2 linked regions of the Caenorhabditis elegans genome follow. The protein of the gene in region 2 interacts with the protein of the main gene of each other region in a pairwise test. Each region holds a gene or a part of one and is shown on either strand. Other genes may lie near its edges.

The links. Proteins that work in one complex are often made in the same cells at the same time.
Region 1: the proteins of ceh-40 (region 2) and col-20 interact in a two-hybrid assay, tested with the Caenorhabditis elegans proteins (one large-scale study listed by BioGRID).

The regions. Positions count from the first base shown.
Region 1 is NC_003280.10:4,869,128-4,872,432, forward strand, and holds col-20 (Nematode cuticle collagen N-terminal domain-containing protein), read right to left. Parts: upstream 1,665-3,305; 5' UTR 1,645-1,664; coding exon 1,581-1,644; intron 1,453-1,580; coding exon 650-1,452; 3' UTR 543-649; downstream 1-542. Other genes in the region: col-73 (Nematode cuticle collagen N-terminal domain-containing protein), read right to left, coding at 3,090-3,136, 3,189-3,305.
Region 2 is NC_003284.9:12,317,622-12,322,386, forward strand, and holds ceh-40 (Homeobox protein ceh-40), read right to left. Parts: upstream 3,157-4,765; 5' UTR 3,080-3,156; coding exon 2,988-3,079; intron 2,319-2,987; coding exon 2,039-2,318; intron 1,996-2,038; coding exon 1,921-1,995; intron 1,876-1,920; coding exon 1,624-1,875; intron 1,146-1,623; coding exon 903-1,145; intron 667-902; coding exon 619-666; 3' UTR 505-618; downstream 1-504. Other genes in the region: xtr-2 (MX region of TRA-2 Related), read left to right, coding at 1-52; F17A2.13 (uncharacterized protein), read left to right, coding at 4,045-4,756. UniProt on the Caenorhabditis elegans protein: Plays a role in regulating gene expression in dopaminergic neurons, acting redundantly with homeobox protein ceh-20 in head neurons.

The DNA.
Region 1 (3,305 bases), on a different chromosome or scaffold from region 2:
ATAACTTGTAGTCATTTTTCAGGATATCCAGGAACATTGTCAATTTTCAGTTTAACAATCCAACTTATTGGAAAATATGTTTAAAACGTTGGAAAAATCCTCAAACACGGCCCTCAAAATTTCGACAACTTTCAGCCAGTTTTCAGATGTTTTTTTGCACATTTTATTAGTTAGGAATATTATTTTTAAATTAATCAAATATTTTTCAATATTTCTAAATTTATTTTTGACTTAAATTGCTTCTTGGAAACCGCTTCAGATTTATAGAAGAATCTCGAATCAAAGCGACATGACTTGGTTTTTATCATTTTTCGGTTGAGCGCATTTCCTATAGATCAAAAGGATTTGTGACCAGTCTGACATCTTCATCGAAAATTACATGAAACGTAGTAGTATCTATGGCAACACATTCACCAGACATAAATGGTTTCCTACAACTATTTCAATGGTCATTAGAACTATTACCGTATCTTCTTATCAAGTTTGAAATCGCTTCTGAAAGAAACTTCCTGTTGTTGAACTAAACTTTTTTGAAAACACACTTATATGATAATTCGAATCAACTAATATACTCGAAAGTTCTTCATTTTGAGTGAAAAACATAAACGACCAGAAAGAAAAGAAGAATTTAAAAACATAGAAAGACAATCTAATATCCTGGAGCAGTTCTTGGTGGTGGGCAGTGATCGCAAGATCCCTTGGCTCCGGCGTTTCCTGCGGCTCCTGGAGCTCCATCCTCCCCGTCCTTTCCTGGCTCTCCGTTTGGTCCATTGTCTCCTGGTGGTCCTGGAGGTCCGGCTCTTCCTGGGTGTCCTGGTCGTCCATCGGCTCCTGGCTCTCCTGGACCTCCTGGCTCTCCTGGTTGTCCTGGCTCTCCTGGTGGGGATGGAAGAGAACGAACTTGTCCTGGAGTTCCTGGGTTTCCGGCTCCTCCATCTTCTCCGGCCTCTCCTTGTGGTCCTCCTGGTCCTGGTGGGCCACGTGGTCCTCCACGTCCAGCTGGTCCTGGTTCTCCGTGTCCTCCTGGTGGTCCTGGTGGTCCCTTTGGTCCTGGTCCTCCGGCTGGTCCAGCTGGTCCAACTGGGCAATCGAAGCAGAAGTCAGCGGCAGTTGGCTTCTCGTCCTTATCGGTAGAATCGCGACCTGGCTCTCCATCATTTCCTGGCTTTCCATCATCTCCTGGAGCTCCGTCCTCTCCTGGAGATCCTGGGGCTCCGGCGGCTCCAATTCCGCAAGAACAGCATTGGTACTCAGACTGACGCTTTTGACGATCAGAAACAGCGTTAGATCGGACCTTGTCGAGCTTGAAGAATTCGGATTTAAGATCAGCATTCTTTGATTTACAGAAGACAAGCTCCTCTTGGAGGCCAGATTGCACATTTTGCATGTGCAGACAGAGCATTGGCACGGCAATGATAGCCGTCAAGGTGGCAATGGTGGAAACAGCCACACCTAGAAAATGAAAGTGTGAACAATTGAATAATAGGAGTTATGATAATCTTTGGCAAAATGATATTAAACATCTTATAATATATTAAAGTTTTTGAAAACAAAGAAATTGATTTTTAAAAAATAATTACCGAAGAAGGCGAATTTTTTGACGGAATCCGCCTCAGCGTACTTGATTGACTTCTCGTCGGCCATGTCCGTTAGTGTGATGGTTTCCACAACTTTCGACCCCTTCTTTTATAGTTTCGCTTGGGAACCGATAGCGTCGGTGTACAGTAACTACTAGAGATAGGAGAGTGGGAGTAGGCTTTCCAGGAAAAAAAAGAAGATGCTTGAAGAGGGATCATCTGAAAATTGGAGACGCTCGACAATTTGGGGGCTGATTGGTTTTCGGGGTTGGCTTGAAGGGAGACGTAGAAGACCGTTGCCTGGGAAGAAAAAAGAAAACAGAAAAACGAACCGATCTGAACTGTTATCATTCCTTGCAATCGGCAATCGTGCCGTTGTGATGGAAAATAGAAAAATGACGGAAGTTATTTCTTAAAATTTGATAGGGGTAGCAACATAAAACTTTTCCTTTGTTGAAAATGTTTCAGGATTTTTAGAACCTATTTTCGCGAGTGTCAATAAAAACCAGATAATACCATTCGGCAATCCAAAATTCCGAGTAGAACATTGCAAAATCTATAATTTGGTAAAGGGACGAGCTTTTGTTATGTGACAGAAAAACATTTCAGGTATTCATTTTTTAAAATTCATTGCAATTTAACTTTTCCGAAATTTTACCTCACAACTGCCAAGTTTTTGAGCTCGATCTTTTCCGGTTTGCTGAAAGAGTGAGAAGCCTATTTCTTTTTTGACAGCTCCAAAAGTGGCAAATACCAAATTGCAGAAAATGTTTTTGTGCCCATTCCCAATTTCCACTAGTTGAGGTCACAAAAAAAGTTGATAAAAAGCCTCGTCTGAAAAAGTGTCCACAAAAAAAGTATACAATTCAATTTTTATTAAAAATTACTTTAAAACTGAAATTTACAGGCAGGTTTTGATCACATTTATGCCTCGTGATGTATTTTCCACAACTAGCTGGAGGCCTACATTCCGCAGCTCAACGTTGCCATTGTTTCTATAAAATTTCGCATCTGGTAACTACTCTAAAGTTTTGGTCTTCCTAGAGTTTATTCGCCGTAAAGAATTTTTTTAAAAATTATAAAAAATTAAATTTCAAATATTAGTTTTTTGATTCATTAGTGTGAATTAAGTTTTGTTAACGCGAAAAAAAGTTTCAAAACCTTAAGCTCAAAACTAAGCGTATCGAAGAGCTTCTTTAACTTTTGTGTTTTCATAATTTCTATTACCAATATTTTTCCACATTGTCACCGTTCTTTAAACGAATCATAATAGTTTTGTTTTACGAGTCACCTTCCTTTTAAATGACCGTCCATCATTACATTCACTCATTTTCACTTTCTATCTCTTCACCTTTCTTTTCCTATTCATCCAATTCTCTTTACAAGTTCAATTAATTTCAATAGTTTTATTGGTTTCTTGTTGAAGAGCCCCGTGAAATGTTTCGACAGGTATTATAAATACAAGTAGAGAGAAAGAGAAATAATTTAAGCAAGAAAATAGCAATTGAGGAATTAATATCCTGGAGCAGTTCTTGGGATTGGGCAGTGATCGCATCCTCCTGGAATTAGGGAATGATAAGAGAAATGTACAAAAATTGAATAAATACTTACCCTTGGCTCCGTCCTTTCCTGGCTCTCCAGCCTCTCCTGGTGCTCCTGGGTTTCCTGGAGCTCCATCTTGTCCTGGCTCTCCTTGTGGTCCTGGTGGTCCTTGTGGTCCTGAGTTTC
Region 2 (4,765 bases):
AGTTGATGTTCCTCCCGGAGTTCTTGTGCCCAATGGACCACGTAGGCAGTAATCAAAATATCAAAGTATTCAGCAAAATGTGGAAATGTTTAAATAGGATCATATCAGACCAAATCAATTCCCTATACTTCGGATCATTTTCAATACCTCTCCACTTCATGGTTGTCATAGATTTTCATTTCACCATTTTGTTTCTAACCGCTAGATAATATAATTTTACATTAGTTTCCAATTTCAGCATGTTATTTTCGCAGTTCCACCAAAATTTCATACTACTACTTGTTATGGATATAACTGGCCTGAGTTCTTAAAAACTTAATTAATTTCAACTTTTTTTTCAATATCACCACTTTCTCAACATTTTTAAAAACGCTTCAGGAAAATCTCCTGTTCTGTGAATAGTTATGTTGTTCTTGTTACCTCATTTATATTGTAAGCCCTTGTCTAAAAATTGTGATGTTGCATTTTGCAGCCAAAAACATTGGTCAGTATCAAATAAATTTCTTAAAAAAGTAATACATCTTATGGAACACAGGATGTATTTCAATGAATTTATTACTTTATAACATCATGGCAAATGTATGAATGAGTACTCAGTACCAGCATTATTAAAGTTTGTCATCGAGTTTGATTTGGGTTTTGTAGAGACTGTTGATATTGGGCCATCTGAAAATGAGAAAACTGTTTTTTTCGGAATATGCATGATTTCAAAATCTGGCAGTAAGAAAAAACCTAGTTTCTCAACTTTTCCAGCTGCTCGCAACTTGGAGTACATCGTTTCCAGAATTTGATGTATCCAAGAACGAGTTTTTTTTCAAGTTTAACAAAAATCCGGGTTTTGAAACAAACTACATATATTGCTCTATTTTTGCAAGTTCACAGTATTTGAAATGAAAACTTACCATCTCAGGATTGTACATGGAAAAATTGAAAGGGGCAACACCGATGGGAAATTGATGACCAGGTAACATCATCTGATATGGGTTCATCATTCCTGCAAACGCGTTGGGTACCAGACTATACGGAGCTCCAGGAGCTCCAGGCGGAGGGCGATCTTCTGGTTTTCTGTTTTCTCTTCTTTCATCCTCATTCTTAGCCATTGTTTTCTTGTAGCGAATTCGCTTATTTCCAAACCAGTTTGATACCTGAAAATAAACTGTAAACTACTGTAAGATTGTATGCAGATATCTGGGACTAAATTTTTTCAAATAGAGTGATAGAGTGTTAAGAAACACTGACAATATTGACAGTGACAAAAATAGTTTTTAAAAAAGTTGCATAATTTTTAGGTTCGTGTCTATAGAACAGCGATTATTTTATGTAACCACAATTATATTCCAAAGAATAATGAACTAGTTTTGCGTTTCTTTTAGAAAACCTTACTTCCCATTTTCTAGAAACTACTAAAGCATTCGTTAATTCTGAACACCGTTTCAACATTTCCTATTCAAAACTCCCGCGCAAATATTAATAGGAGACAGCTGACGCAAATGGTGATGATGGCGCATTTTAGCGAGCTTTTAATTTAGGCCTTATCAATATTATCTTCATGCAAATCGTAATATTCTTCAAAAGTTTTTTATGCATATTTTTTAGTATGTAATTTTGTATTTTCAATTTTACCTGAGCAACACTAATGTTACATTGCATAGCTAAGGCCTGTTTGACCTCTTCCGACGGGTATGGATGATTGATGTTTGCTAGGAAGTACTCGTTGAGAATCTCGGTGGAAGTTTTCGAGAAATTTCTTCTCTTTCGACGAGCATCCAGATAACGCTTTTTCAGTTGGATAACTTCTTCGCAGGCAGTCTGTTTTAGTACAAAACAGACCTTGTTAAATTTACCGGACATCTTGTTCATAAACTTTTCGGTTGACTGAAAAATTGGTTTAATCTTTTCACCGGTAGATTTATGGCTTACCTGTTGGGTGATTGGACGGAATTCTCCTTGTTGCTGGAGAACATCTTCAACGTACTCACACCACTTTTTGCAGTGCTGAAATTTGTATATTGGTTGGTGATATATGAGACGATCTTACCTTGTCAAACGCTTTTGTCTCATTTTCAAGCTCTCGTCTCACTTTCAAAAGTTGTTGACGATACTCGTATTGGTCAGTTCCAGCAGCTTCCTGAATACGCAACAAACTATCATCGGGTCCAGCAACTCCTTCTGCTTTGAGCATGGTATCCAGCCGTTCATCATTCTCTTGTGCTTCAAGATCCTTCATCATCTTTGTCGATAGGTCGATTTTGGACTTCTGCTCAACTAGAACATCTTGTACGGCTCGGTAGAATGGATTGATCTTGATTTGTGGTTTTCTGAAAAATTCATAAATACTTTTGACAATTTTTTATTTTTTATTTTCAGGAGGAAGTGAATATCCTCTTTTCTTTTTTGTATCTTGATAGTAATCTCTAGTGTTGGTTTTCATCTTATCGCAACTTCTCCATAAATGTATAGTTACCAAAACAATATTATGATAAATACTGAAGTTGAAAGAAAAACATAAGCACTCCAGCGGAGAGTTTGCTTAAGAAAGTTTTTCCAAAAAATAGTTTTCAAGAAGTTTGTGATGATAGTTGAACTAGAGCAATGTTTTAAGGAGCGGTACTGTTCAAATAAAGAAATTAGAGACAGGCTATTGCCTACAAAAGCTGATCAAAAAAATTAAACATTTGATGTTTTACGAAACTTTGCTTAAAAGCATATCTTGTCATTATTTTTTCTTGAGTCGTAAACTAATCAAAGTATTTTAAGTATGAATGAACATTTGTTATCAACATCTATAAACATTGACCAAAATTTTGAAACTTATTAATAATTTTGATTTGAATACTTATATCATCAACACGCCCATGAAACAATATTGAGAATTTTTATTATAGGAATATCAGAAAAAACAAGCGCAAACCATCACATAACGATTGTTGATTTTTTTTTTTGAAAACTTCGATTTATGGCAGCACATAAGCAAAAATCTAACTCACAATTTATTGACAGCTTCATTATCCATAGTCATGTCGGTAATTTTGACAACTTCTGACAGCAGATCCATAATCGATTTTGACGCCTCACTCATGTCTACAATAAACCAGAATTAATGATAAATGACAGGAAACGTATTGGAGATAAAATGTTGATGAGACGGACACATTAGCGAGAGGTGGGGTAAAAACGTAACGTTGTCAAGAATAAAGACAAATTGTGGTTGACAGACAGTATCGGTGCACGCAACGCAAGTGGTTGTAAATGATGTGCGCAGTTTGGGCGAGTCAATCGAATACTTTTTTGTGTGCAAGCGTTCGTTGCGTAATGAGCGCAACTGTGCGGTGAGATGGGAAGGTCAGCCGATATTCAGTCACGATATGAGTTGCAACAGATGCCGTTTCCCACATATTGGATTATTCGCCCATTGTTCTCCTCTTTCTTGCTCTTAATGTTGCCTAATCGTTTTTTTTTGTGTTCTCAATCTTACAAGTTAATGCATTTTTTATTGTTTTTTTCTCAGAAGCAAAGTTGCGTTATATAGTAACCAAATTTGAATTATGCTTTTTTTCAATTAAATCTGAAGATAGTGGACAGTCACTTTTTTGAAGAAGCCTGTAGAAACAACAGAACAAAATTAAATGGTGCAATTTTTTCTGATTTCACTGTTAAGCTGCAGTTTTTAGTTATTAGTTTTGCAGTCAACAAAGATTATCTGCCAAACTTGGAAGGGTGTCAATGTTCCCATTGCTACATGTTGTTTTCCTCTGACGATTTATGGGTTGAAGAGTCGGGAAAGGAGTGGGATGAGAGTCTAATGTCGCGTTAGCAATATCGATCGATATAAATAAGTGTAAAAATATCTAATTCCTCGTTTTCTTCATTTTGTATTTGAACGAATGGTCTTCTGTTTACACTCTCAATTATTCTCCGTCTCGAAAACAACTGTTTGGACTTTTTTTTTTCAATCTTACTCTTTTGTTCCACATTTTTTTAACGTTCTCAATTTTTCAACTGGTTATACAATACCTATAATTTTTTTTAAATTTCAGTACAACAATGTCGTGTTGCAATGACTTCTCCTACTCCAACGCTGGAATCTATAGGCAAGCGATGGAGGATATCATGTTTACCCCGAACAAAGATAAAAAGAAGTCAGCCTTTCATGATGAAACTTTAAATAGCCTCCGAAAAGTGAGCAGATTGGTGCAGAAGTTTGAAAGTGGCGGAACTGACGATGAGACTGTTGATGAGACCGAAAAAGAAGAGCAAGGAGAAGATGTGTGCGATGGTCCTGTGTTCAGGAAGGAGTCTTTTCTGAAACAGAGCCAAAATGAAGAAGAAGAAGAAAAGGCAGATGTTCAAGAAAATTTTGACGAGCAGGAGAATGCTAAAAATGAAAACGACGAGGTGTTCTATGAAAACGAGAACGAAGCAAAGGAACTAGTCGAGACCCCCATTCTCCGATCTTTGTCCCGCCAATTTTCTGGCCTAACGATTATCAAGTCTCACATCAAAAAAGACAATCTCGATGTGGAGAGTAGATCTCCAGCTCGTCGTGAGACGAGAATCATGTCAAGAAGAAAACAAGAATCGTCAGTGTCGTCATGCTCATCGGAGAGCTCTCATTGCTCCGCTTCATCGTCTCTCAGTAAGACGGAAAAACCAGAACCTGAGAATAGCAACTTCGTAAACGAACTGTACTACTGCAAATTGGCGAGATCTCAAGTTCACCACAAGTTTGAAGCATACTTCAAGTGGAAATCAGAGAGTAAGCATT